Linked DNA regions of Xenopus tropicalis. The protein of the gene in region 2 purifies or fractionates together with the protein of the main gene of each other region. This does not show direct contact. Links are inferred from orthologs where the notes say so. Each region holds a gene or a part of one and is shown on either strand. Other genes may lie near its edges.

The links.
Region 1: the proteins of ppp1ca (region 2) and ylpm1 purify together in Homo sapiens (affinity purification with mass spectrometry; 3 studies listed by BioGRID and IntAct, counting the BioPlex papers as one, with this or other methods). This does not show direct contact. The link is inferred for Xenopus tropicalis from reciprocal best matches to the Homo sapiens genes PPP1CA and YLPM1.
Region 3: the proteins of ppp1ca (region 2) and erbin purify together in Homo sapiens (affinity purification with mass spectrometry; 3 studies listed by BioGRID and IntAct, counting the BioPlex papers as one, with this or other methods). This does not show direct contact. The link is inferred for Xenopus tropicalis from reciprocal best matches to the Homo sapiens genes PPP1CA and ERBIN.
Region 4: the proteins of ppp1ca (region 2) and kif18a purify together in Homo sapiens (affinity purification with mass spectrometry; 3 studies listed by BioGRID and IntAct, counting the BioPlex papers as one, with this or other methods). This does not show direct contact. The link is inferred for Xenopus tropicalis from reciprocal best matches to the Homo sapiens genes PPP1CA and KIF18A.
Region 5: the proteins of ppp1ca (region 2) and pfdn6 purify together in Homo sapiens (affinity purification with mass spectrometry; 3 studies listed by BioGRID and IntAct, with this or other methods). This does not show direct contact. The link is inferred for Xenopus tropicalis from reciprocal best matches to the Homo sapiens genes PPP1CA and PFDN6.
Region 6: the proteins of ppp1ca (region 2) and pfdn2 purify together in Homo sapiens (affinity purification with mass spectrometry; 3 studies listed by BioGRID and IntAct, with this or other methods). This does not show direct contact. The link is inferred for Xenopus tropicalis from reciprocal best matches to the Homo sapiens genes PPP1CA and PFDN2.
Region 7: the proteins of ppp1ca (region 2) and ccdc85c purify together in Homo sapiens (affinity purification with mass spectrometry; 4 studies listed by BioGRID and IntAct, counting the BioPlex papers as one, with this or other methods). This does not show direct contact. The link is inferred for Xenopus tropicalis from reciprocal best matches to the Homo sapiens genes PPP1CA and CCDC85C.

What each region holds. Positions count from the first base shown.
Region 1 is NC_030684.2:82,137,817-82,141,908, forward strand, and holds part of ylpm1 (YLP motif-containing protein 1), read left to right. Parts: coding exon 1-2,298; intron 2,299-2,693; coding exon 2,694-2,814; intron 2,815-4,092. UniProt on the Homo sapiens protein: Plays a role in the reduction of telomerase activity during differentiation of embryonic stem cells by binding to the core promoter of TERT and controlling its down-regulation.
Region 2 is NC_030685.2:488,094-492,683, forward strand, and holds the start of ppp1ca (protein phosphatase 1, catalytic subunit, alpha isozyme), read left to right. Parts: upstream 1-1,363; 5' UTR 1,364-1,433; coding exon 1,434-1,488; intron 1,489-4,417; coding exon 4,418-4,549; intron 4,550-4,590. Other genes in the region: npipb11 (nuclear pore complex-interacting protein family member B11), read right to left, coding at 1,002-1,006. UniProt on the Homo sapiens protein: Protein phosphatase that associates with over 200 regulatory proteins to form highly specific holoenzymes which dephosphorylate hundreds of biological targets.
Region 3 is NC_030677.2:187,603,432-187,608,039, reverse strand, and holds the start of erbin (erbin), read left to right. Parts: upstream 1-1,501; 5' UTR 1,502-2,151; intron 2,152-4,608. UniProt on the Homo sapiens protein: Acts as an adapter for the receptor ERBB2, in epithelia. By binding the unphosphorylated 'Tyr-1248' of receptor ERBB2, it may contribute to stabilize this unphosphorylated state.
Region 4 is NC_030680.2:20,710,293-20,714,384, forward strand, and holds part of kif18a (kinesin-like protein KIF18A), read left to right. Parts: intron 1-305; coding exon 306-463; intron 464-2,535; coding exon 2,536-2,640; intron 2,641-3,659; coding exon 3,660-3,770; intron 3,771-4,092.
Region 5 is NC_030684.2:72,108,915-72,111,807, forward strand, and holds the end of pfdn6 (prefoldin subunit 6), read left to right. Parts: intron 1-1,728; coding exon 1,729-1,853; intron 1,854-1,928; coding exon 1,929-2,049; 3' UTR 2,050-2,271; downstream 2,272-2,893. UniProt on the Homo sapiens protein: Binds specifically to cytosolic chaperonin (c-CPN) and transfers target proteins to it. Binds to nascent polypeptide chain and promotes folding in an environment in which there are many competing pathways for nonnative proteins.
Region 6 is NC_030684.2:143,080,036-143,084,818, reverse strand, and holds the start of pfdn2 (prefoldin subunit 2), read left to right. Parts: upstream 1-1,873; 5' UTR 1,874-1,876; coding exon 1,877-1,915; intron 1,916-3,532; coding exon 3,533-3,621; intron 3,622-3,783; coding exon 3,784-3,907; intron 3,908-4,783. UniProt on the Homo sapiens protein: Binds specifically to cytosolic chaperonin (c-CPN) and transfers target proteins to it. Binds to nascent polypeptide chain and promotes folding in an environment in which there are many competing pathways for nonnative proteins.
Region 7 is NC_030684.2:90,646,432-90,650,523, reverse strand, and holds part of ccdc85c (coiled-coil domain-containing protein 85C), read left to right. Parts: intron 1-2,163; coding exon 2,164-2,268; intron 2,269-4,092. UniProt on the Homo sapiens protein: May play a role in cell-cell adhesion and epithelium development through its interaction with proteins of the beta-catenin family. May play an important role in cortical development, especially in the maintenance of radial glia.

The DNA.
Region 1 (4,092 bases), on a different chromosome or scaffold from region 2:
TGTAGATACTGCACCATCCCTTAATGTAGGTAATGCCATGACCTCTCCAATTACTACCAAGGATGGTAATCTGCCTGGTTCTGATCCATCAAAGAAGGCAGATATTCTTTCCCCTTCTCTTGCCAAAGAAGTCAGTGAGTCAGTACCTGATTCTCAAAAGCAAAGTACTTTTAATGCCCCTGGTGTGGGTGTTGGTGCCCCAATGCTTTCTAATGAACTCAGTCTCAAAAATCTAGCTTCTGAACCACTAATAAGTGAAGCCCCTAATCAACATAGACCCAGTGCTCCTTTGGTTCCTGTCCAGCCTAGACCCAGTGCTCCTTTGGCTCCCGTCCAACTCAGGACCGGGGCCCCTCCAGCTCCCGGTCAGCCTAGGTTCGGGGCCCCTCCGGCTCCCGGTCAGCCCCGGGCCGGGGCCCCTCCGGCTCCCGGTCAGCCCCGGGCCGGGGCCCCCCCGGCTCCCGGTCAGCCCCGGGCCGGGGCCCCCCCGGCTCCCGGTCAGCCCCGGGCCGGGGCCCCCCCGGCTCCCGGTCAGCCCCGGGCCGGGGCCCCCCCGGCTCCCGGTCAGCCCCGAGCTAGTGGCACAACTGTACATGGCCATCCCAGACCTGGAGTCCCTCATCCACTCCCAAGAACTGGTGCACCAAGTCCCTTTAGATCTCGGACTCCCTTAGGCCAGGGTCCAAGGATGGGAATGCCAGGTCCCTTCAGGCCTGGAGCTCCAGGACCATTTAGAGCAGGTGCACCTCCTGTTGGCCTTCCAAGAGGAGGGTTTCCTGTTTCCTTTAGGGCAGGGGCCCCAGGTCCTCCCAGGATAACTGGCCCTCGGGGCCCTTCTTCAATTAATCCCACAGAACTACAGGACTTTCAGATTGCAAGTTTACCTGCAGGGCAGATTCCAGGTGGTTCCCTTGTGCCACAGGAATTCGATCACCCTTTAAATGTAAAGGAGGCTTCTAAATCTAGCTCTGCCATGCAGAACATATTGGCAGAAGATCCCGATATGTCTTTGTCATCAGTAAGGGTTCCCTGTAGTGAGGAAGGAGAGTCGGGTGCAAATATTTTAAGAGATGCAGTGCCAGACTTCCCTGAAAGGCATACCAGGCATGGTGACATTGAAAATTATGATGCAATTCAAGAACCAGCCTATGCTAATGCTCACTTACAGCCGGGCCCTTCCAGGTTACATCATGGGAGAGGAGGATTAAGGGAACAATGGTTGCAAGGTACAGAACAGTGGAGTAGCCAAGGGAAAAGATTAGAAAACTATGAAGTAAAATTTGATCAGAGGGGTAGAGGTCGCTCTAGAGGACTAGTCCGTGAACGAATTCTGCCCAGACCAGGCAGTCGTGATGCTATAGAACATTTAAGAGAGAGAGATTTTGGGTCAAGGGGTAATTTCTTGGATGAGAGACCTCCCCAGGGCCCTGATTATGATCCACTTTTTATGAGAGAGATGCTTCACAGAGATCATAGATTTTCTGATGATGAGAGACCTCCTTTGGATCCCTTGGAAATTACAATAAGAGAATATTTGGACAAAGTTAGGCTTGATAATTGGGAATGGGAAAGATATATGAGAGAGAATGAATTTCTTCGAGAGCAAAGCCATGCATTTCTCAGGGATGAGAGGCTTCCTTTTCACCACCATCCTCCTCTCCCTCCTCCTCCCCTTCCTCGTGACACAGATGTTCGTCAAGATCCTTGGTGGGATAGACTTCCAGAAAGAGAACAGTACAGAGGGCCTGGTGATGTAGTGGAGAGATTTGAAAGGCCTTATGAGGGACATGATCGGGAGAGAGATTACTTAAGAGTGCAGGAGGATTTGGACTTTTTGACACGTGAAAGGATAAGTGCACATCCTGTTCGACGACCACTTTCTCCTCACCGTTCACTTTCACCTTTACGGCCCCGCTCTCCTCTACCACCTCTTCCTCCTCTTGATAGATATCTTGATGAAAGTTGGAGAGATGACAGAGAAACTGACCGAGATTTTCGTGAACGTGGGGACATCAGAATACTGGAATACCCAGAAAGGCAAGAAGAAAGAAGCCGTGAATTCCCCCCAAAGAGAGTAGAGTGGAGGGAAGATCCATGGTATCCTTCTGAAAATAGATTGGAAAATCGTATAGATCCCAGTCACAATCTTGAAACACCAGTGTCACTGGAAAACCCTGTACCTGGTGCAGAAAGCAGCCAGGAAATGGAATCTGCACCCTCTTCTGCTGGAGTTTTGGCACTGAGTCAGAGACAACATGAAATTATACTAAAAGCTGCACAGGAACTCAAAATGCTCAGGTACCCAATGGAAACGTACATGCATAAGCTTGTAATTGCTGTTGAGTTTTGCATGTCCGTTTTGTATTTTTAGTGAAAATATGTATAATTTAGAAGTAGCTGATCAGGCAGATTGTAATTTTATGGTTTTAAGTATTTTTTGTGTACTTGAATTAGTTTTTTTTTTTTTCTTCAGAAACATCAGGCTTTTTCAGTTATTTTAATTTAATCACAATATTACAAAATAGTTGACCAGAAGTTTAGAAGCTCACTTACCAACTTGGGTTCCTATCAAAACATCTTTGAGTTGAGATAAGCTGTGTACCTAAAGCAACTTTCTGCAAAGTAATTTTAGAAAGAAAATTAGTGTTTAGACTTGCCATGTGGTTCTTGACATCATTTTTCACTTTCTTCAGGGAACAAAAAGAACAACTGGACAACTTAAAGAACTTTTTTAGTGATTCTCAGACTTCTGGGGAATCAAAACACCAGCCACCCTTGCCAGGCGATAGTGGTTCAGCCCCAAATATGTTCAAGGTAGGTTTGCCTAACAGGACCAACAGACTTCCCACAAATACTTAAAAAAAACACACATCAGTTATTTATGATTTTATTAAGTTTATTGGTTTTTCAAGAAAAGAGGAGAATGAGAACATAAACATTTAACAGTTAATACCAGTACATTCTTGGTGGACCTATAGTATAATGAAACAGTAGTAAACTCCATCCATGGAGCCACAGAAGTTTGTGGTCAAAAGCCTTTGCCCAGTATTTGTGCTTTTATGGCCTTTATGGGCCTAATCCACTTCACATTGGCGACTAGTGCCTGTTGAGCGTGTATGTGTCATTTTTCACTTGCTTCCTATAGGTGTTTTTGCAGCTGTCCGTATGCAGGATGCTACTTGATGGGTTTACTCAAGAGGCAGGTCAGGGGATCAGGATCAATTCTTTATTTGAGGACAGTTGGGGTGCATTTGCCACCATCTCTTAATATGCTGTTACCACCCTGCACATTCACCAATATGCTTATTACAGGAAAAGGGGGAATAGGGAAAGAAGAAGTTCTCTTATCCAATACATTTTCTCCAAAACTGGTGTTTTGTTGGGGGTATAAAATATGTATAATATAAAGTATAAGATAAAGAAGGAATAGATAACCCCTTAATTAGAAAACACTTTTAACAATGGCTTCCCACTGTTTGATACGGCTCAAAATACCAATCAGGAGTTCATTAATTGATTCAATAAAATGATTAGTGCTAAATAAATAAGAAAAGGGGCAATTATTTGAAGGTGCTAGCTTTTTCTCCACACCTCTTGATTATTCCTTTTCTTTCTATATATACCTAATTAATTAAGGTGAATTATCAATCAATAATTTGGCACTTTAAAGGAGAAAGAAAGGTAAAAACTAAGTAACTTTATCAGAAAGGTCTATGTAAATACAGCCATAAGCACTCACAGAAATGCTGCACTGATTTCTCTGTCAAAAGATTTTCTGTGTCTGTTTTCCTCTCCCAGAGACACACAGCTCTCTGCTCTCTCCACTCTCCTGCTCCCCCCTCCCTCAAGAATGCTAAGAACTCACCCCCCCCCCAGGAATGTGGAACTGAGCCAATTGGCAGGAAGCTTCCTCATAGTCTAACTGAGCATGTACACTGGTCTTGCTCTTGGTGCAGGAGTGAGGCATTATGGGAACTTTTTTTACACAGTCCAGTGTTTTTTCTTGTCCTGTTTGGCTTCTGATCATGAGAACGGGAGAAATATGGGGAAACTTAAGGGCACTATTGAGAGAACTGAAGTTATGCCTGCAGC
Region 2 (4,590 bases):
TGACACCCCCAACACTGAGCCATAGAGCTGCCTGACACCCCAACACTGAGCCACAGAGCTGCCTGACACCCCAACACTGAGCCACAGAGATGCCTGACACCCAACACTGAGCCATAGAGATGCCTGACACCCCAACACTGAGCCACAGAGATGCCTGACACCCCAACACTGAGCCCATAGAGATGCCTGACACCCAACACTGAACCATAGAGATGCTGACACCCCAACACTGAGCCACAGAGATGCCTGACATCCCAACACTGAGCCATAGAGATGCCTGACACCCCAACACTGAGCCACAGAGATGCCTGACACCCAACACTGAGCCATAGAGCTGCCTGACACCCCAACACTGAGCCACAGAGATGCCTGACACCCCAACACTGAGCCACAGAGATGCCTGACACCCCAACACTGAGCCACAGAGATGCCTGACACCCCAACACTGAGCCACAGAGATGCCTGACACCCCAACACTGAGCCACAGAGATGCCTGACACCCCAACACTGAGCCACAGAGCTGCCTGACACCCCAACACTGAGCCACAGAGATGCCTGACACCCCAACACTGAGCCATAGAGCTGCCTGACACCCCAACACTGAGCCACAGAGATGCCTGACACCCCAACACTGAGCCATAGAGATGCCTGACACCCCAACACTGAGCCATAGAGATGCCTGACACCCCAACACTGAGCCATAGAGATGCCTGACACCCCAACACTGAGCCATAGAGCTGCCTGACACCCCAACACTGAGCCACAGAGCTGCCTGACACCCCAACACTGAGCCATAGAGCTGCCTGACACCCCAACACTGAGCCATAGAGATGCCATAGAGCTGTCCCATAGCAGAGGAAGGATGGGTTCGGGCTGAGGGAGATGAGTAGATACAGCCTATTGGGGGAAGAAGAAGGGGGGGGGGTTGCCATGGCTACCGGGGGCTGCTGGGACCGGTAGTTCGGTAAAGGGCGGCGTTCCGCTCTCTAGGGGTATGTTACGTCATTTCCGTTCAGGCTTCCGCACCCCTCCCTCCCCCGGCTGACTGTTGTTCTAGCAGCGGTTGCCAAGGATACGGGCGGAACCGCGCAATAATAGGACCCGCTCGCTACTGACGTCACCGGCCGCAGATCTATAGGCTAGGAGTTTGCCGTTTCCCAGCCAACCAATCAGCGCCTTCCTGTGCAGCTGTGTAGCCACACCCTTTTACGCAGCGGAAAAGGCGTGGCGTAGTTCGAATTCTTAGCTCACTGCCAACCAATCAGTAGCCGCTAGGAAATTTCACGCCTGCGCAATCCAAATCCTCCGTTTACAAGAGAGGCGGGGCGCGGCGTTAGCGTGTTTGCGTCATTACCCGGCGGCGAGAAAACACGTGACTTGCTAGTACTTAGCTCCGCCTACCGCGTCCGCTTCTTCCTCGCACACAGACACCGATGGGGGACGGAGAAAAACTCAATATTGACTCCATTATCCAACGGCTCCTGGAGGGTGAGCCCCGGGGCATGCCGGGAGGGGTTAGCGGGGGCCCAACCGGGAGTGGGGCAGTTACACTGTAATGGGGGGGGGGGGGGAGTGAGTGGGGCAGTTACACTGTAATGGGGGGGGGGGGGAGTGGGGCAGTTACACTGTAATGGGGGGGGGGGGGAGTGGGGCAGTTACACTGTAATGGGGAGGGGGGAGTGAGTGGGGCAGTTACACTGTAATGGGGGGGGGGAGTGGGGCAGTTACACCTGTAATGGGGGGGGGGGAGTGGGGCAGTTACACTGTAATGGGGGGGGGGAGTGGGGCAGTTACACTGTAATGGGGGGGGGAGTGGGGCAGTTACACTGTAATGGGGGGGGGGAGTGGGGCAGTTACACTGTAATGGGGGGGGGAGTGGGGCAGTTACACTGTAATGGGGGGGGGAGTGGGGCAGTTACACTGTAATGGGGGGGGGAGTGGGGCAGCTACACTGTAATGGGGGGGGAGTGGGGCAGTTACACTGTAATGGGGGGGGGAGTGGGGCAGTTACACTGTAATGGGGGGGGGAGTGGGGCAGTTACACTGTAATGGGGGGGGGGAGTGGGGCAGTTACACTGTAATGGGGGGGGGGAGTGGGGCAGTTACACTGTAATGGGGGGGGGAGTGGGGCAGTTACACTGTAATGGGGGGGGGGAGTGGGGCAGTTACACTGTAATGGGGGGGGGGAGTGGGGCAGTTACACTGTAATGGGGGGGGAGTGGGGCAGTTACACTGTAATGGGGGGGGGAGTGGGGCAGTTACACTGTAATGGGGGGGGGAGTGGGGCAGTTACACTGTAATGGGGGGGGGAGTGGGGCAGTTACACTGTAATGGGGGGGGGAGTGGGGCAGTTACACTGTAATGGGGGGGGGAGTGGGGCAGTTACACTGTAATGGGGGGGGAGTGGGGCAGTTACACTGTAATGGGGGGGGGAGTGGGGCAGTTACACTGTAATGGGGGGGGGAGTGGGGCAGTTACACTGTAATGGGGGGGGGGGAGTGGGGGCAGTTACACTGTAATGGGGGGGGGAGTGGGGCAGCTACACTGTAATGGGGGGGGGAGTGGGCAGCTACACTGTATGGGGGGGAGTGGGGCAGTTACACTGTAATGGGGGGGGAGTGGGGCAGCTACACTGTAATGGGGGGGGAGTGGGGCAGCTACACTGTAATGGGGGGGGGGAGTGGGGCAGCTACACTGTAATGGGGGGGGAGTGGGGCAGTTACACTGTAATGGGGGGGGGAGTGGGGCAGTTACACTGTAATGGGGGGGGGGAGTGGGGCAGTTACACTGTAATGGGGGGGGGGGAGTGGGGCAGTTACACTGTAATGGGGGGGGGGAGTGGGGCAGTTACACTGTAATGGGGGGGGGGAGTGGGGCAGCTACACTGTAATGGGGGGGGGGAGTGGGGCAGTTACACTGTAATGGGGGGGGGAGTGGGGCAGTTACACTGTAATGGGGGGGGGGAGTGGGGCAGTTACACTGTAATGGGGGGGGGGAGTGGGGCAGTTACACTGTAATGGGGGGGGGGGGGAGTGGGGCAGTTTACACTGTAATGGGGGGGGGGGGGAGTGGGGCAGTTACACTGTAATGGGGGGGGGGGGGGAGTGGGGCAGTTACACTGTAATGGGGGGGGGGGAGTGGGGCAGTTACACTGTAATGGGGGGGGGAGTGGGGGCAGTTACACTGTAATGGGGGGGGAGTGGGGGCAGTTACACTGTAATGGGGGGGGAGAGTGGGCAGTTACACTGTAATGGGGGGGGAGAGTGGGGCAGTTACACTGTAATGGGGGGGGAGAGTGGGGCAGTTACACTGTAATGGGGGGGGAGAGTGGGGCAGTTACACTGTAATGGGGGGGAGAGTGGGGCAGTTACACTGTAATGGGGGGGGAGAGTGGGGCAGTTACACTGTAATGGGGGGGGAGAGTGGGGCAGTTACACTGTAATGGGGGGGGGGAGAGTGGGGCAGTTACACTGTAATGGGGGGGGGGGGAGGAGTGGGGCAGTTACACTGTAATGGGGGGGGGGGGAGGAGTGGGGGCAGTTACACTGTAATGGGGGGGGGGGAGGAGTGGGGGCAGTTACACTGTAATGGGGGGGGGGGAGGAGTGGGGCAGTTACACTGTAATGGGGGGGGGGGGAGTGGGGCAGTTACACTGTAATGGGGGGGGGGGGAAGGGAGTGGGGCAGTTACACTGTAATGGGGGGGGGGGGGAGTGGGGCAGTTACACTGTAATGGGGGGGGGGGAGTGGGGGCAGTTACACTGTAATGGGGGGGGGAGTGGGGCAGTTACACTGTATACAATAACAATAATACCTGTATATTTATATCTACTTAACCCCCCCCCCAACTGACTGAGCCCATGTCCCACAGGGGAGGGATATTTCCCCTTTAATATCACACACACACAGTATCAGGGTTCCTATCAATCTGAGGGGAGCGGCCCTGTCCCAGTGGGTCAGGCTGTAAGGAATGGCCCAATAGAAAGCTGTGTATTGGGGGGGTGGGGTCAGGGTACCAGTGAGCATCATGTGTTCCACTCAAGGTGTAATTTTTTTGGGGTATGGGCCTATGATTGGTCCCTTTTTGGGTGGGGTATGGGGGAGGGGCCTATGATTGGGCCCTTGTTGGATGGGGGAGGGGCCTATAATTGGGCCGCTGTTTGATGGGGGAGGGGGCCTATGATTGGGCCCTTGTTGGGTGGGGGAGGGGCCTATGATTGGGCCCTTGTTGGGTGGGGGAGGGGCCTATGATTGGGCCCTTGTTGGGTGGTGTAGGTGCATATAAAGACCAGTTGGGGTGCAGCCGTTGTACTGGGAGCTGATTGGAGCCTGTATGTAGGGGACGGGGGGCCCTTGGCTGTGTATAACGGGGCCCCCCCTCCCCAGTTCCTGACTGGCCTGTTCCTCCCCCCCTACAGTTAAAGGCTGCCGCCCTGGGAAGAATGTTCAGCTGACGGAGAATGAGATCCGGGGGCTGTGCCTGAAGTCCCGCGAGATCTTCCTCAGCCAGCCAATCCTGTTGGAGCTGGAGGCCCCGCTGAAGATCTGCGGTGAGTAGGGCCCTGGGTGCCGAGGCTCCGCCTCTGTGTGT
Region 3 (4,608 bases), on a different chromosome or scaffold from region 2:
TATAGCTTACATTAGCATCAAGCATCACTTTACAAGGCAGGTGGCAACTCTACTCAAGACACATATTAATCTTTTATCTAATGCTCACACTTAAACTGTTTTGTAATATCTGTGGAGTTTCTATTTATTTAACGAACCATATATTCTGACCTAAAGTACAACTGAAGTTAATAAAATATAAATATTGTCCATAATGGACACAATAAAACAAATTAAGGGGTTATTTACCCCTTTTATTCTACAGTATTTCTTATCCACTGTATTTGGACACGTTTGGTTCTTATGTCGACTCTGACATGCCATAGTAAGTGTATGGACACTGATCAGTTTACCACTACTTGAGTAGCTCTCCTGATTTAGTGCATTCCTTCCTAGTGGCTAAGGCTTAGGGTGGCCTGACAAATGACAATAAAATCTTTGATTTTTGGTACATGTATGGAAGCTAACATTTGGCATCCCCCAGTTATTGTAACTTTCATTCTCCTTTAAAAACCTAATCTGCTGATGCACCACGTTTTCCATTGTATGGAAGTGTCTTCACTTTCTGCTGTTCCCGTTGTTCAGCCTCGACAATGTATGAAACTGACTGTAAGCTCTTTTGGGCAGACCCTTTTTACCTCTTGTATCGGTTACCAGTTAATTATTTGTATGTAATCTGTATGTTCAGTGCATACACCCATTTATTGTACAGTCCTGCAAAATATGTTGGTGATGTATAAATATGTGTTAATATTAATAATAGTAATAATAATAACCTTGTATTGCACCTGCAAGCTGATTGGTCACATACTGTACAAGGTCCGGTTGTATATGACTGCCTAAAGGCTATGTATGTAGAGGCACTGACTGTATAATACTTATATTGCCATGACCCTTGGGTACAGAACACAAGTAAAAAGGTTAAACAAATTGTGGTGGTCACTTAAATCTGGGCACCTGTAGCCAATAGCCTTGGATACTCCATGACACTTTCAAGGTGATGAGCCCCTAACAAATCTGTTACTTAGGATAACAGTGACTGGCACACACACTCATGTAAATGCCTCTGTGGACCAGTCACTGATAGCTTGGGGCACTGGGTCAGCACCCTATTTGAATGGGCTAATAGCATCACAAATTAACCCTAAGGATTAAACACTAAGTAATGGATCCAATCTACATACACCTAGGGTCCTGTACAGTAACACTTGTCCCTGAGTCTCATTACATCTTGTCCTACAAGCTGACAATCAAATAAAAGATGGAATAAGCATTTTAAAAATAGGATTTCGTTTCCCCCCTTCAACTGTTGCAGAACTAAAATACCCACAAAGGTTCCTAGTGCGGGTTAAGGGGTTGTGATTGAAACACATCTGGGGGGGCAGCAGCTTTACTGCACCTTTTCATTAGAAATATGTTACATGATGGGGGTAAAATGAAGAGAGAGCCTAAGCAGGGGCCACATAGAGGAGAAACGAGACGCCTCAGGAAGTGAGAGTAGCAAAGAGACTGCCCTTATGAGAGGGGGGAGGAGAGACTGGAGACAGAGGGGGAGGGGAGAGTGTGTGCGGCTGCGAGCAGTACTGGGGAGGAGAGAGTGCTGCTTGGCCGGGCTGTGTGTGTGAGTGCGCTGAGGGTGCGGCTCCCATAGTGGCACAATATACCCTACACTCCGGCTCACCCTTCATGACTCGTACGGGTGTCACTAGGAGGAGCAGTGAATGCAGCGGGACCCCTGTCCCTACACGGCTCTCTCTCTTCCTACACCCCCCTCCCCTTGCCTGTTTATTCCCCTGACCCCCACTCTCTCTCTACTCCCCGAAACGTGGACCTGGAATCCCGTCCCTGGTAAAGAATTGTCCTTTGCTTCTCTCTAATTGGGATGTTTCCAGCCCCCTCCCAGGATTAAGGAACGGTGAAAGCATTGGAGGGAAACGAACTTGAGCTCATTCGGTTTGGAACTTCTACAGCCCCTTTGTGATCCTCTCTCCCGGCCTTCGGGTTTGTTGTTCTCTGGCCATCTCTCTCTCTCTCTGCGGAAAATTCTATACGTTTGTGGGATTATTACACCTTTCTGGATTCTGAGAAGAGAAAAGCTTGTTGGATTTACAATAAACTCAATGCAGGAGGAAGTGGAACATTACACTGAAATATCTAGCAAACTCTAATAAGGTAATGCTATGGCTTTTACAGGGGAGACAGGGGGGGAGAGTTGGATGAGGCTGCTTTGTGTTTTGGCCAAGGACTGGGGGGCTTCAGCAGTAAAACTCAGGGCAAGTTAGCAGGTGGTTGGTTCTGGGCAGAAACATGCTTTAGTCTGGGGCAGAAGGATGCTGCTGGTTTTAAATGGACCGAGATGTTGTCTGATCTCTAAACATCACCACAGTTGATATAAGAAGTTCTCTGCTGCACAAAATGGTCCAGCAGCATGTTGCAGCTGTCTGAGTTGTCGGGCAGACTGCTCTCCCTCTCTGTGCTGCAACCAGATGCTTCTATTGTTGCTGTTGGGGCTGTTTATAAATAAGTGCTGTTTTCCAGGGTGATTATTAGTATATTACAGATGCTATTCAAGTTCTACACGGACATGAAGCATACAAAGAGAAACTGAAATCCGAGAGCTTACAATCTAGAATGCAAATGTCTGATGTCTGGCCTTCCAGCTGTTATTTGAACTTACAGTATTCCTTGCCAGGTCAAGACGGTTGAAGAATATGTTGTCAGCTGATTGGCAAGGTAGAAATCCCTTAGGCCTTACGGTTTTCAGACTTCAGAACCCCCATTCATGTTGAACATTTGGTTGGGGCCCTCCTCCGCTTGTAACTCTGTTACAGATGGCATAGCTCCTTGAGTGTTTGCCACAAAAATCTTACCCTGTTAACCGTCATTCCGGGAATTCTAGGAGTATATAAAAAAGCATATTTCCCCTCTGTAGTCTACCTGCTAAATCACCCCCCCCCAGTTACTGCCTTGTTCAGGCCCACAGTTTCGAAGTCTTGGCTATTTTAGATCAGGGATATAATGTTTGAGCCCCTCCATCCTCGTACTACAGTAGTGTTTGACTGTCATGGTATGCATAATAGTTGGAGGGCCCCAGGTTGGACATGCATGTAAATGATATGTTTCCCATTCAGCTGTTATAAAATTGCAGCTTCTGTCTTCAACAGTGAGTTCCCAGGTTACACACATGTCTGCTATAAACTCAGTTTTACTCTGGTGGTTCTGCTCAGCAGGCCCTGTCTGCATGTAGTGTGGGGGGGGGGTCCACACTGATTGGAGTCGTTGCCTAGCAGTTCTGTAAATGCAACAATGACCAGAACTTGCTTTGCATCTTTACAAGAATTTCTAATGGAGCTCAAGCTCTTTTGCTTAAGTTGACTTTCTACCAATGCAGAAAATGACAAGACTAAGAGAAGTAGAATACAATGTTTGAGCCTGATGGTAAATCAAATAACAGATATTTTATTATTAACTTTACAGCTTTATTAATGTATTAATATTTGTGCCATCTACCTGTCTGTGACTGACCTGGCACATGGGATTTGATCCAGGTATGGGATCCTGGAAACCTGTTACCCAAAAGCTTTAAATTACGGGAAGGCCATCTCCCATAGACTCCATTTTAATCAAATAATTCTAGTTTTTGAAAATGATTTCCTTTTTCTCTGCAATAATAAACCAGTACCCTATTCAGTTTAATGTTTAAATGATTTTTTTAGCAAAATTAACATATGGCAATCCAAATTACAGAAAGACCCCTTATCTGAAAAGTCCAAGGTCCCGAGCATTCTGGATAACCGGTCCCATACCTGTAGTTGAAATGACCTGCAGCTGCTTCTTTAAAATGATTACACTAAAAAGAATACATATTTTAAATAAATAATGCAGAGTGTCCATGTCATGCTCTGTTTTCCTTACCGTTCTATTTGTAGGAAATATTAAATGACACAGTTACGTAAAGCGAAGCTTTGCGAGAATACAAGGCAACGTTTGGTGTGGTTTTACAGCTATAAAAATTGAGTGTTAGTTGGAGGCCTGCTCTTTTCTTTCCTGTGTTACTTCAATGGCCTTCGTTACATTAACCCCACTGCCCAGATCAGGGCCTTGACAAACATTTTAAATAGTTTTAAACTTTACATATTTCTTGCGTGTTTGAAAAAGTTTCCATTAACTTTATCTTCAGAAGGGGTGTGTGTGGGTGTATGAGGTGGGGGGCAGGGCAGATTGCTATGGGATTTCATTTTTTTTCTGCCTTGTTCTTACACACAGTGGAGCTCTTTGTTCATTGGAAGGCATGCAGATCTAAACTGGCTCTCCTAATCGGCCAGCCGAGTGCTCCACTGACAGCAGCACAATACAACTTTTTCAATTTGACTGCAAGGGAAAAATATGCCAATACTTTTATAATTTATTTATTTTATTTTTCTAGGTCAGATCTACTGAATCCTAGAGTTGTGCTTTCTTTTTTTTTTTTTTTGCATACCTGGGCTTCATTGTCAATACTGAAGGGTTGTGAAGTTACTAGTTCAAATGTGACCCCCATGGTTATGATTGTCTACAGTAGTAATAATCTACAGCAGTGATCCCCAACCAGTGGTTCTGGAGCAACATGTTTCTCCCTAACCCTTGGCT
Region 4 (4,092 bases), on a different chromosome or scaffold from region 2:
TATCTGCCACTTGAGACAAGTCTCCCCTACCCCCATCTTAGGCTCACGGTGTGATTCAATCCCTTCCTTACCTTGTTCTATTGTAAAGTGATGGATTCTGGGACCTGAAGTCACAGAATCTATGGAGAGCAAAGGAAGCTGGGCATTTGGGCACAGATAACCCAATACACGCACTTTATTTAAAAAAAATACAAAAGTTTTATCCGTGAGTAAAATGTACAAATCGCACTACCCACTCTTAATGTTCTTTAGCTAGTTTATTTAGAAATTGATTTACACTTTTTCCCCCCCCCCCCGTTTTTTAGTTCTGGCTTATGGAGCAACGGGTGCTGGCAAGACTCACACTATGCTGGGGTCACCGGGGGAGCCTGGAGTCATGTATCTAACAATGATGGAATTATACAACCGGATTGAGAGTGTAAAAGATGAGAAAGTTTGTAATGTTGCCATTTCTTACCTTGAGGTTTGTATTGTGCTAAAATTTTTTTTTTTTTTTTCTTAAGTCAAACTATTTAACTGCATGCAATTTTATTTTTTATTGTTACAGCACCATAAATCTCTACTTTGCCCATGTGTATAGACCGAAATGTTAAACGGGTCATCACTGTCAACTAAATACAAAAAGTCAGCTTAATTTTCAGATAGTCTTGGTTTATTTTTTAGTGATTAGTGTGTTTTGAATAATGTGACATTTTAAGTTGCAGCTTTTTATTATTAATCAATAAAAACCGGGAAAAAAACAGATGACTAAATAGCTAAACTGTATATCTGGAGGCAGGAGAAAGAGGGGCACAAGTCGCTTGAGAAAGCAGCCATGTAAACATTACATACAGAAAGGGGCAAACATCCACGATTTGGCCTGGCCTCACTTAAAGGAACAGTAACACCAAAAAATGAAAGAGCTTTAAAGTAATAAAAATATAATGCACTGTTGCCCTGCACTGGCAAAACTGGTGTGTTTGCTACAGTAAAGGTGGCCATACACGCACCGATATTATCGTACGAAACCTCGTTTCGTACGATAATCGGTGCGTGTATGGTATGTCAGCGAGCCGACCGATGTCGCAGGAAGCTGCTGAAATCGGTCGGCTCGTCGATCGCCCAGGTTAGAAAATTTTGATCGGGCGCCATAGAAGGCGCCTGACCAAAATTCTCCCTTCAGAGCTGAATCGGCAGAAGGAGGTAGAAATCCTATTGTTTCTACCTCCTTACCTGCCGATTCAGCCCTGAATGGTGTGTGGCGGATCTGACGATGTTTCGTGCGACCGATGGTCGTACGAAACATCGTCGGATCGCCACGTGTATGGCCAGCTTAACACTACTATAATTTATATAATAAGCTGCTGTGTAGCCACGGGGGCAGCCGTTCAAGCTGGGAAAAAGGAGAAAAGGCACATGTTACATAGCAGATAACAGATATGTTCTGTAGAATACAATGGTGTTTTATCTGTTATCTGCTATGTGCCTGTGCCTTTTCTCCTTTGAATGGCTGCCTCCATGGCTACATAGCAGCTTATTTATATAAATTATAGTAGACTTTCTGAAGTAAACGCACAACTTTTACCAGTGCAGGGCAGCAGCACATTATATTTTAGTTACTTTTATACACTTTCATTTTTTGGTGTTACTGTTCCTTTAAGTCCTTGCATCAACCATCTTGGCCACTTCCATTCCCAAATCTCTCATCATAGTTAATGTCTGTTGCCTGATAGTACACCAGGTCCAGGTTTAACATGCATTTTACCCATTTCCCATAAGCTAATTTTAAAGGGTTGTTTCACCTTTCTGTAAACTCTTAGTATGTTATATATGTTGCTATTCTTATCAACTTTGCAACTGGTTTCCATTATTTATTTATTTTTTTAATGATTTGCCTTCTTCTGCCTCCTTTCAAATGAGGGGGTCAATAACCCCGACAGTCAGAAACTATTGCTCTATGAGGCTACAAATTTGTGTTTATTACTTGCCTCGGGTAAGGTGTTCTTCATAGGCCTTAGTAAAACAGTGTCTTTGGTATATTTCACACAGTGAGACTACTGCTAATTAGTAGCTGTGGATGCCACAAAGAGAAGCCATGTCAGTCATTAAAAAAAGTGCCCTGGTAATGGCTACAGGCCCTAATCTACGTGTTATGCTTCTTATTGTCATCACTGGAAAACCAATCCTGAGCATTCCCGTGTGGAGGTAAATAGCACAGCTGATCTCTCTAAAGGGATCTTTTCAAAGATTGTTCCCACCCTCCACTGACGTTCAGGGCTGAATCGTCAGATATGGAGGTAGAAACAATTGAAATTCTACCTCCTTCTGCCAATTCAGCCCTGAACATAGATTTTGCTTGGGCGCCTTTAATGGCGCCTCGTCGAGCCGCCATACACTCACCGAATATCGTACGAAAGGAGGTTTTGTACGATATTATCAGTGCTTGAATGGCCGGCTTTACATTTTTAAATACAGTAATGCAGGGAAACATCATTTGTTCAATGCAATTGGTTTTACTTCACAATAAAGTATGGCTTGTGTTGTATTTATCTTTAGGTTTACAATGAGCAGATCCGAGACCTCCTTTCAAATTCTGGTGCATTGGCTGTGAGAGAGGATGCTCAGAAAGGAGTTGTTGTGCAAGGCTTAACATTACATCAGGTAGGATTAAGATTTCTAAAAGCCCAGTGCGCCCTACTCTAACTTACCTTAATTTAATACACTGTTAATTTAAGATTTCAAACCAACAGCAGCCATTCAGCTCCTATATTTGATTGGTCAGCTGCTTGTAAATAAAAGACCAAGTGCTTGTTTGGGTCAAATCAGATGTCCAAATCAGGGATACTTTGCTTTTAGCTTTCTATGACGCCCTTACCTTGTGTGTCCTGTGTGTGACACAAGTTAAGGGGATGCCCAGGTGCTGCCTATACATTATAGAACATTGGCATGGCTGCATAATAAGGGTGGAACTAATGAGCCCCATTTTGCAAGCCTAAAGAGTTGCCTTTTTGGGCTCCAGATACATTGCAGAGGGGACTAAGTGGAAAAACTGCTTGGCTGTGTTCCTAGTGTCACCGTTGCACACAATTTCTATAGAGTATAAATTATAAATTTTCTTAATCTCTAAAACTTCTCTGTACAGCCCCCAGAATGACATACATTTCTCCCTGCATGCAGATTTATTTTGTTTCTCTATTACAAGCCGCTAAACTGCATCTCTTTTACGGACTTCCTTGTCTAGCATGAAGCTCCACCCCTTTTGCTTTCTGAGCACACCTTCTCTCTGGCAATGATGTGCCTACTGAGCATGCCTGATTGATTTTAATTGGATCAGAGGCAGTAAGCATGCCCAGTAGGCACCACTTTGAGGTCATCATAGTTGGAGAAAGAGGGAGTGCACAGAAAGCAAAAGGGACAGAGCTTGCCGCTAGACAAGGAAGTCGGTAAAAGAGCTGCAGTTCAGCTGCTTGTAAATCAAATTTGCATGCAGGATCGTTGTGTTATTCTGGAGACTGTACAGAGTAATTTTAGGGGATTTCAAAATAAAAGATTACTTATGCTTTAAAAATAATTCCCCTTTGTGAAATATGCATCATGTTTGTCTTTGCTATAGCAATGGATAATACAATGAAACTCAAACACTTGTATCTAAAGAATGTCTTCATTCTCTCGAACATTAGCCCAAGTCAGCCGAGGAGATCCTTCAGATGCTCGACTATGGAAACAAAAATAGAACCCAGCACCCTACTGACATGAATGCATCGTCATCACGGTCACATGCTGTGTTTCAGGTAAGTTAAATGGCCACTATGGGTTACCTGGGAGTAAATTGTTACAGTAAGGGTAATGGAAGCAAATGCGATGATTTATTTTTTCCTGCAAAAATACATATTTAAGCATTTTGCATTAAAATCCACTCTTTGTGCACTGATTGGCTGATCCTGTACCTGTCAGTGCATACATGTCCAAGGTGCAGAAGGTAGTGGATCAAATCTTCAACAGCAGAGGAACAATCCATGTGCTATTAGGCTAGATTTATCCCCCTATTATTCACTAAATGAATGAAAAGAGTCGAACTCCATTAAAAAAATCTTTTTAGATCAGTAGCTGCAG
Region 5 (2,893 bases), on a different chromosome or scaffold from region 2:
AAATTGCGTGACTTTTTGTCATCCCACTGAGACAATACCAGTCTTTCCTAATTTAGCAAAGAAACACTTCTTGAGGGACCATAATCCAATTTGTGCAGACATCTGTAATGTACTTAAGTCAATCAGGTAACTTACAAGGGTAGGTGTGATACAGGTAATAAGCTTCAACTGATAATTTTCCTACAAGGGGAGCAAATGAGCAGGGACAAATGTATTAAATGTGTAAAAATGTGTTAATCCTAATGTTTACCTGGTCTGAATTCTACACATGAAAAATAGAAACAAAAATAATTTGTGTATATATTTAGTATAATTATTTTATTATTAATGCTAACTGCTTATTTATATTATTTGACTGCACCCATCACATACAGCATATTTATAGTTTAGAGAGAATACAGCCACATCAAGCAAAGTTATTGTTGGTGGAATCAGTTTTTGCTATTTGATATCTTACGCCTCCCCAAAAGCCATGTCAGACAAATTCTCAAACTGAATTGTTGTTGTATCACACTACACATGTTTACAATTGCACTGTATTAAAGAGTTGGTGAAGGTAGGGCTGGGCGATATACCGCTTAATACCGAATACCGGTGGTTTTTTTTAAAACTATATTCATTTTTCAGATACCGCAATACCGGGGTGTCAGGGTACTCACCCGTGCGGCCCGGTCTCGCGTGCGTCCTGTTGTCCGCGGGACGTTGCGCACGCGCATCCAGGTGCGCGTGCGTCAAAGCGCACGTACATGTCAAAGCGTGCACGTCCGTGATGCGCTGACGGCGCCGGTTCTGTGCATGCGTGGGGGGTATTTAAAGCTATCAAACGCCTCCTCCTGTGCTATGTTGTCTGCGGCCTTGCCTGGGAAACTAAGCCTGCCTGATTTACCTTACGACTTTCTGTTGCCGATCCTTCGCTTGACTGATTTTCAATACTGCAGTAATTATTTTCTAATTTATTAGGAAATGGGGTTAACACCTAATCATGCATGGAAAAAAAAAATACCGTCAAATACCGTGACACCGATATAATTTTGAAAAATACTGTAATATAAATTTTTGGTCATACCGCCCAGCTCTAGGTGAAGGTTAAGTAAAAAAGACCTCAGCTCTAACATCTCAGATCTAAGTTCCTCTACTTTATACTAGGGATGAAGCAAATCCACTATTTTGGTATCCGGCCAAACCCCAAATCCATTGAAAAGATTTGGGCAAATACCAAACTGAATCCTAATTTACATATGCAAATTAGGCCACGGAGGGGGTTAAAGAGGACTGTATGCTTTGCACATGGTCAAAAATTTTATAAATATATAAAAATAGTTTTTTTTAATCCAACCTTATGATTTTGTTATCTCAATTATGACAAATTGCGTCCTTTGTCTGCTGGAATAGTGGCACTGTGGGAAATAATAGGGTTTGTATTCAAAGGTAAAACTGCAATCTTAAGACAATAACCCATTTTATATAAGCTGCAGAAAGAGAGGGCAAAGACATTTTCTTCCTAATATTTCCATTAGGCAAATACATAATCATTTCTAAAATGGTCCTGGAAACTTTTTTTTTTTTTAAATGTATTTTCAAAATAAACAGGAACAGAAAAGAAGATTTCAGACATTAACAGTAATCATATTTGGCAATATATAGAATGTCGGGTAAATATAAAAAATAACAATATAGTGTGATTCTTAAGAATGAAATGTGTATGTGTGTTTCTATATATCTCTGTAGGAGCTGGCTTTTCTGGATGACAGTAACACTGTATATAAGCTGATTGGTCCAGTGCTGGTAAAACAGGACCTGGAAGAGGCAAAGTCTACTGTGGATAAAAGACTTCAGTACATTAATGGAGAAATGTGAGTAGTGTTTTTCTTTAGTCTGTATTGAGATTAATAACTGGTTTGTATAATGTTTGAATGTTTGTTTCTCAGCAAAAGATATGAGACCACACTTAAGGATATGGAGCAGCGTTCAGAGCAACATAGGGCATCCCTTACTAAGCTTCAACAAGATTACCAGAGGACACAAGGAAAGGGGCCAGTGAAGGCCTGAGGGGCATTCAGAATAATCTATAACCCTAGACCTGGTTTTCATTGGTCATTAATGCTCCAGGACTGTGTAACCAAAACTTTGCCCACCATTTATTTTCCTGGAATACTTTTGGCACCTCCTGCCTCTTGTGCACACTGATGCCACTTCTTGGACAGTAAGAGCTTCATTGTGGAAATACTATGTCTTGAATTGTGTTGGGTAATAAAAATGCTTTGACTCCGAGAGGACTTAATCTTATCTTTCCTGGGAGAATAGCAGAACATTGCACGTAAGAAATACACAAACCATACATATAGTTTCTGAACAAATGGAACAACTCCTGACCTATGAACAATAAGTACCAATAGAAATGTAAGAAGTGAAATTAGATACCAAGGGGCCTCCACCCAAAATAGGTTTTGTTTGTTTGTATAAGAGATTAATAATTCTAAGCAACATTCCATTATGCACTAAACAATTGAGTGGTTCAATGGTTATTTGTAAATTACATTGCTTTTAAAAGTAGTGTTTTTCTGCAGGTCTGTTAATCTTTTGGCTTTTGTTATTGAACACCATTGAATAACTGTATAAAAAAAGTTGCTTAGAGTTACATCTTCTTTTATTATGCCAAAAAGTGTTGAACCTCTTTAAGGAAGACTAATATTTTCAGCCCAATTACTACATATTAGAGAAATTACATGACTAAAATACATTTGTGTCTCCAGATCTATTAATGGACCCATGTGCTTGGTTCGTGGCACTGGATCAGAAGTGTGTAGCGCTGGCTCCTTCTGAAAGCTCAGACTCACAATGCACTAAGATTAGGTAGAGTTAACAGTGTAAAAAGTATACCATGAAATCATGA
Region 6 (4,783 bases), on a different chromosome or scaffold from region 2:
TTACCCCCCGGCCAGTCACTGGGGTGCCTGACAGATAATCAGCCCCACTGTGGTGATATCTAGGAAGTGCTGAATGGAAAGTAAAAGTCATTGTAATTGAAAAAATCTGAGCTGTCAATCATATATTGCCTGCCCCGCCTCTATGCCGAAGGCATAGATATATAGGCAATATATGATTGACAGCTCAGATTTTTAAATACATTTATAACAAGTATGGATGATTTCATTAAAAAAAAGAATTTGGGTTTCATGTTTCAGTTGCCTGGTTGCTAGGGTGCAAAGTACCCTAGCAACCAGGCTTTGATTCGAACGAGAGAAGGGAATATGAATAGGAGAGGGGCTGAATAGATAGGTAATTGATATAAAGTAACAGTAACAATAAAACGGGTCAGTTCTCCTGTTGCTAGGGCTCAAATTACCTTAGCAACCAGGGAGTGGATTGAATGAGAGACTGGTATATGAATAGGGGAGGGGCTGAATAGAAAGATAAGGAATAAAAAGTAACAATAAAACTGGAGCCTCACAGAGCAATAGGGTTTGGCTGCCGGGGTCAGTTATACTGTTGCTAGGGCTCAAATTACCTTAGCAACCAGGGAGTGATTTGAATGAGAGGCTGGCATATGAATAGGGGAGGGGCTGAATAGAAAGATAAGGAATAAAAAGTAACAATAACAATAAACTGGAGCCTCACAGAGCAATAGGGTTTGGCTGCCAGGGTCAGTTATACTGTTGCTAGGGCTCAAATTACCTTAGCAACCAGGGAGTGATTTGAATGAGAGGCGGGTATATGAATAGGGGAGGGGCTGAATAGAGAGATAAGGAATAAAAAGTAACAATAACAATAAAACTGGAGCCTCACAGAGCAATAGGGTTTGGCTGCCGGGGTCAGTTATACTGTTGCTAGGGCTCAAATTACCTTAGCAACCAGGGAGTGATTTGAATGAGAGGCGGGTATATAAATAGGGGAGGGGCTGAATAGAAAGATAAGGAATAAAAAGTAACAATAAAACTGGAGCCTCAAAGAGCAATAGGGTTTGGCTGCCGGGGTCAGTTATACTGTTGCTAGGGCTCAAATTACCTTAGCAACCAGGGAGTGATTTGAATGAGAGGCGGGTATATAAATAGGGGAGGGGCTGAATAGAAAGATAAGGAATAAAAAGTAACAATAACAATAAAACTGGAGCCTCACAGAGCAATAGGGTTTGGCTGCCGGGGTCAGTGACCCCCATTTGAAAGCTGCAAAGAGGCAGAAGAAGAATTTATTTAAAAACTATAAAGAAATAAATGGGAAACAGGATTGGGAGATTTAGTCCAAGACACTAAGTGCTAAGACTTTACTTTCCCTTTAATCTCTTTACCAAGATAGGGAATGAGCTGGGAACCCCAAGATGAACCCCATTTGACTTGTTATTCTCTAGTGTAGTTATATATGTTTATTTAACCTGCATCTGGGCAGAGAAACCCCAGAAATGGTGGCTGACCAATAACAGGCGCACTAGGGAGTAGTCACATGACAACAGGAGGCTAACGTCAGCTCCCCGGGCTTTGGCTGAGCATTCTGGGATCTGTAGTTTAGAGACTTCCGGACACCCCATTAGCCAATCGCATTACGCAGCCCCCCCGCACGGGCTATAAAGAAGCGGCGATATATCTGACACACACACTTTCCCAGGAGGCCTCAGCTGTCACAATGTGTTGACGTCACTTACTACGGCCCGACTATGACGCGGCTTATGCGCCCCACCAACCAGGCGCTTCCAGTCATGCTTTTCCCTCTCTCAACATGGCGCCGCCAGGACTTCCCGGGCGGAAGTGGCGTCGGAACGCATAGACTTCCGCTGCGCGGAGAAGGTGCGCAGTGCGAGAGAGAAGCGTGATGGCGTCTAATGCAGCGAAGCAGGTGGCGGCCGAGCAGGTACTGGGCATGGTGGGCATAATGGCTGCTGGGGGGTCTGCCCGGCCGGTACCCCCCCCCCCCAACCGGCCGTTTAAAGGGCAACTAAGCCCAAAGCCCTTTTTTCATTATGGCCATTCATTCCCTTATATAGACACATGTGCTATTATAAGCTCAGTGGGAACAGGCTTCCTTGGGCATTTACTCAGATTCATTCCCTATTGGGATCCCTGATAGCCTTCCCACAGCAGCCCAGGAGCAGCCGGCTCTTCTGCTTCCTAGAAACTGTTGCTAGCCAGCTTGGTAGCAGTGTTGCTATGGTACTGAGCTGTTAGTGATATCCCATAATCCCTCAGTTGGAAGGGGGTTCAACAATGGGACTGGGGCACCTTAGTGTTTTATTATTACAGAGAAAAGGGAATCATTTAACCATTAAATAAACCCAATAGGGCTGTTCTGCCCCAATAAGGGGTAATTATATCTTAGTTGGGATCAAGTACAGGTACTGTTTTATTATTACAGAGAAAAGGGAATCATTTAACCATTAAATAAACCCAATAGGGCTGTTCTGCCCCAATAAGGGGTAATTATATCTTAGTTGGGATCAAGTACAGGTACTGTTTTATTATTACAGAGAAAAGGGAATCATTTAACCATGAAATAAACCCAATAGGGCTGTTCTGCCCCCAATAAGGGGTAATTATATCTTAGTTGGGATCAAGTACAGGTACTGTTTTATTATTACAGAGAAAAGGGAATCATTTAACCATTAAATAAACCCAATAGGGCTGTTCTGCCCCAATAAGGGGTAATTATATCTTAGTTGGGATCAAGTACAGGTACTGTTTTATTATTACAGAGAAAAGGGAATCATTTAACCATGAAATAAACCCAATAGGGCTGTTCTGCCCCAATAAGGGGTAATTATATCTTAGTTGGGATCAAGTACAGGTACTGTTTTATTATTACAGAGAAAAGGGAATCATTTAACCATTAAATAAACCCAATAGGGCTGTTCTGCCCCCAATAAGGGGTAATTATATCTTAGTTGGGATCAAGTACAGGTACTGTTTTATTATTACAGAGAAAAGGGAATCATTTAACCATTAAATAAACCCAATAGGGCTGTTCTGCCCCCAATAAGGGGTAATTATATCTAAGTTGGGATCAAGTACAGGTACTGTTTTATTATTACAGAGAAAAGGGAATTGTTTAACCATTAAATAAACCCAATAGGGCTGTTCTGCCCCAATAAGGGGTAATTATATCTTAGTTGGGATCAAGTACAGGTACTGTTTTATTATTACAGAGAAAAGGGAATCATTTAACCATGAAATAAACCCAATAGGGCTGTTCTGCCCCCAATAAGGGGTAATTATATCTTAGTTGGGATCAAGTACAGGTACTGTTTTATTATTACAGAGAAAAGGGAAATAACTTTTTAACGTGATTAAAAAAGAAGTCTATGGAACATTATGGATAAAGGGTTTCTGGATATTGGACCCCATAGGCCCCTGTAAGAAGATGAGCCAATGCTGGGCTGATCTGTTTGCCCACATTGTTTAAGAGTTGCCATTAAAGGGAAAGTTAAGCCAAATACCCTTGTTTAATATGTACGTTCTGTGTTTGTTGCTACAGGTGGTGGCTGGATTTAATCGCCTGCGCCAGGAGCAGCGAGGTCTCGCGTCCAAGGCAGCGGAACTGGAGATGGAGCTTAACGAACACACGTGAGTCTCATTAGCAAACAGGTCGTTCAGCAATGAAGAATCCTTCAATGTGATTCTCCCCGAGGGTCGTTATTCCTCTCTGTTGCACGCTACATTTGTTCTGTAGTCGGAACCAGTGCAGATCTCCCTAACTAACTGACAGTCGTCTCCCTCGCTCCGCAGGTTGGTTATCGACACCCTGAAGGAAGTGGAGCAGGGCAGGAAGTGTTTCCGGATGGTCGGGGGGGTACTGGTGGAACGCACCGTGAAGGAAGTGCTTCCGGCTTTGGAGAATAATAAAGAGCAGGTAAGGCTCTGCCTTGTGGGCACCTAATTAAAGGGCATATTAACCTTTATTGGGGGCAGAACAGCCCTATTGGGTTTATTTAATGGTTAAATGATTCCCTTTTCTCTGTAATAATAAAACAGTACCTGTACTTGATCCCAACTAAGATATAATTACCCCTTATTGGGGCAGAACAGTCCTATTGGGTTTATTTAATGGTTAAATGATTCCCTTTTCTCTGTAATAATAAAACAGTACCTGTACTTGATCCCAACTAAGATATAATTACCCCTTATTGGGGGCAGAACAGCCCTATTGGGTTTATTTCATGGTTAAATGATTCCCTTTTCTCTGTAATAATAAAACAGTACCTGTACTTGATCCCAACTAAGATATAATTACCCCTTATTGGGGCAGAACAGCCCTATTGGGTTTAATGGTTAAATGATTCCCTTTTCTCTGTAATAATAAAACAGTACCTGTACTTGATCCCAACTAAGATATAATTACCCCTTATTGGGGCAGAACAGCCCTATTGGGTTTATTTCATGGTTAAATGATTCCCTTTTCTCTGTAATAATAAAACAGTACCTGTACTTGATCCCAACTAAGATATAATTACCCCTTATTGGGGCAGAACAGCCCTATTGGGTTTATTTCATGGTTAAATGATTCCCTTTTCTCTGTAATAATAAAACAGTACCTGTACTTGATCCCAACTAAGATATAATTACCCCTTATTGGGGGCAGAACAGCCCTATTGGGTTTATTTAATGGTTAAATGATTCCCTTTTCTCTGTAATAATAAAACAGTACCTGTACTTGATCCCAACTAAGATATAATTACCCCTTATTGGGGCAGAACAGCCCTAAGATATAATTACCCCTTATCAAAGC
Region 7 (4,092 bases), on a different chromosome or scaffold from region 2:
GCATCCCCTCGCGTGTGTTTCGGTGCACATGCGCCGTTGGGGGGGGTGTCGAACGCCAAAGCACACGCGTGTGGGGGGGCGGTGCAGGGGGGAGGTGGCTGACCAGGTTGCCTAGGGAGCTTGGTCGGCTTGGCCCGCCCCTGCCCTAGATAAATCCAATATGCAACTTGAGTCATTTTGAGAAAGAAAACCTCAGTATTTTTGCAGCAGAAATTTTCTGAGAGCCTAGAACGGAAATCATGAATCTACCTGTGCATTTTCCCAGTGTCCTTAAAGGGTCATTATACTGACTAATGTTAGTCTGTCTTGTTCAGCCAAACAATGGCATTCCCAATAAGAAATATTTTGTTACAGTGATTGTTAAAGCAGCTTGACCAAAGGTGAGAACTTTTTTTTTTTTTTTTTTTTTTTTAGCCAACCAGTATGTCAAACCGCCCCCTTGTATGAGACAATACACTTATTAAAATAAATAGGGCTCTGTCCCTATGTACAGTAAGTTGAAAAAGGAATCACTATATAAATAAAGAATTGTCATAAAAGTCTTCAGCTATATGTTTTACCATCTACAGTTCCTGCTTATAAATAGGTTATTTCTCATTAAAATACCCAATTCACATTTAATGCATGCTTTCAGCCGTTTGTATACTGTATTTGAATCACTTCTCCAATGGCAAAGGTATTATCTAGAGGTTACTCGTGGTTATTTACTATATTGTTCAACTTCACATATGGTTCAGAGAATTTAAGAGGATTAGAGACCCGGAAGAACAGAAGCCGTGATACAGCATCATTTCAGAAATTAAATTAGTATGACTAGGGTCTGAATAGGAATGGATCCTTTATGAAGGAAATTGCTTTACCATGCAAAAGATAAAGAACATTTCCAAGATGCATATTCTTACACAATGGGTAGGAGATTTCTGCAATACCATTTTTTTCCTTATCGTTTATGTTGGACAAATGTCACAAACGACTTGTGATTACTACAATCCTTGGATTATCCTAACGGGTTTGTCTTTACTTAGGGGATGTTTGGACTTGCTGATTCCTTTCCGGCTGAGATGCATCCAGTGTCATTACTGACATCCCTGGGTACATATTGTTTGGTCACTAGATATTGTGCCTGTAGAACACCAGTAAAGGGGCATTACACCTTATTTCTAAGTAAAGTCTATATGCTGATGTCCATCAGTATCTGATTATCAAAACCTCTGTCCACCACAGATCACTTCCCATTTGGTTTGTCTGCCACAAGCATCTATTAAAAAACACCCAGCACTTCCCTGGGCAACCCCTGGTACCTCCCATTCTTAGAAAGGGAAATCAATCCGAAGAAGGTAAATGTAAAATGCCATGTTTTAAATATAAAAGTTATTCTGTCCATGGTGCCATATTTACCTGCAGATACTTGTGTTTATTTGTGCAGGATCACCACAAATTACACTGGCACAGAGGCCCGAAATCCACTTCTAACAAATATTGCATGTTTACTTACGGTTATAATATCAACTATTGGATATAATTATTTGGTTTTTAAAATGGTCAGCATGTTTGTTTGGTCCTGCAGTAAGTTTTACATATCACACAAGTGCTAGCTAGAGGCTGGTTTCCAGGTGTGCCAGTGTGACTAAAAGCTCTCTCTCCTAGGGAATTATGCAGTAACCCGGGCAAAGGTTTCCCTTTAACCTACTGCAGAGATGTGGTAGGGTTAAGGATCAGAAGGGCTGAGTAAGGATAGAGAAGGGTAGATGGAGAATGACATAGAAGGAAAGAGGATGGACAAATGGAGGGAGCAGAGAGTAGATTATCAGATGTGTATAATGAGTGTGCCAAACTGTTGTGATAATTGAGCACTGACTATCCCCTATGCACATTTGGGGCAGGTAACTGCCTGCGCTATGTCCCAGAACATGACCCCTATAACTGGCATTATATGTAAAGGCATGTAGGATGATCTCATCATTTGGTGTTACTGGTCCTTTGTTTATAATGACATGGGAGGTCTTCTTATCCAAATAAACTTCACAGAAATTCAAAAGATCAAATGTATTGGTTATTGGCCAGGCTACTGACATAAAGTGAACAGTGTGTAATTATGCCTTGGAAGCCTGTCTCCTCATATCTACCTCACGCAGAACCTCTTTTGTGCCATTTCTTTTGCAGCACTCTACCTCTGGGGAGTTAAGAACTTTAAGAAAAGGCTTATCTCCATACCACTCTGAATCCCAGCTGTCACCACTGCCTCAATACCAGGAGCCTCTGCAGAACGTAAGGAAACTCTTCTTTCCCACTCATTCAGCCAGAGCTTTAACTGAATGCCAAAGATCTGTGTGGACGGAGGAGACACAAGCCTCCCTTCTTTACTCAAGCGTATTAAGAAAAATGAATATTTATAAGGCCAAACAATAGGCAGGAGTATTGTTGTCTCTAAATAATGCGCCTCTTGAATATTTATGGGACATAAACCCTGAGGTTCCCATAAATTACCCCTGAAACCTGTGTTAAAGGTCCCATGTGTATAGATCATCCTCATTTAAATTATATGCAGACAAAGTTAACACTTTAATATTAGGTACCTTGTATATGAATGTGGTTGTTGTATGTATTACAGTGCCTCATTGTCTGTTTGTCTAGGGGAAGCACCTTCATTTCCGTGTAAGGACTTGCTTTACAGTGTAAAGGGTATAGTGTCAGATAAAATATATATTAATCCCATATAATAATCACACAGGGAGGGAGCAGAACAGAAGGATCTGTACATCTCATCTGTCATTTGTTTTCTCTGTGCCCTAAAGAGATATCGGTAAACCCTGAATACACTTTGTCCCAGAAATATAAAGTTCTGCAGAATTTTCTTTATTTTACTTTCATAAATGGGTTGTTCATATTTGAACTAACTTTTAGCATATTATAGAAAGTGCTATTTTAAAAGAATGTGCAGTTCAGCAATAGCAATCAGATTTGAATAGAAAGTGTAGAAATGAAAAGTAACAAAAACACTAACATTGTAGTCTGCACAGGAATAATTATTTGGCTGCTTGGGTTAGGGACATATTTGAGAGCTGGTAGGAGTCATAAGAAGAAAAATAAGGCAAATAATTTCAAAACTATTAAGAATACCAAAAAAGACCAATTGAAAAATTGCTAAGAATTGGTGATTATACAACATATTAAAATTTTCCATAAAGGTGAACTACCCCTTTTTTAGTAACATACTGTAGAGTCTTTTTATATAACTCACTTTACAGTCTACAGACCAGGAAGTGATTGGGGTTATAGAAAATGCCTATTTTTTTATTGTGCTAGGCACATTTTAAGAAATATTCATGCAACAAAGATTTTTGTGCGATGTGCTCACAATAAAGACATTGTAATGTTAAAAGGGTGTACTGGTCTGAAAAATACATTTTATATTTATATATATATATTTCATACCAGAAAAAAAAAAAATATTTATATGTATGTATTTCTGGTATCAAATTTGGTGTAAAACACTGGTGTAAAATTTGGTAGCACACCAGTTTTTGCCTCTTTAACCATTCACCACATGTTACATTCTGCTACCGCAGTATTAAAATGGTAGCGCTAAGTCTATATAGACTCATGGAGATATTAAAAGAAAGGTAAAATCACTGAGGCTGCAACATTGTTAGGCACCTCCCAGTTATTCTAGATGCATACCTGTTCCATGGGGCTGACACACCAGCCCAGCAGCATTGGAACAGTGCAATGGAACACCAGTAGATATCCTGGTGGGCCCTACCATTCCAGGTCTATCCAGAAGATATGCATTGGCATCAAACGGGGGGCAGCATTGCACAACTCCATCGGGAAATATCCACCACTCTGGGTTCATGTGAGAGGTATGTGGCAGATAGGGGCTTGTGGCAGTGTAGCAGAGGGCATTAGGAGCAAGTTGGTGGCAATACTGCAGTCCCGGGTGCTGTGTCCTGAGTGCCAAGCTACAATTTTCTTTCCTCCTCCAAGCTGTCTGTTACAATAATTCAGTAGGACACATGCACCATACAAACAATCTCAAAGTTCTGTACTGTAAATGCACTTACCCAAGCCTGACAGGGAAATGTCTGCAAG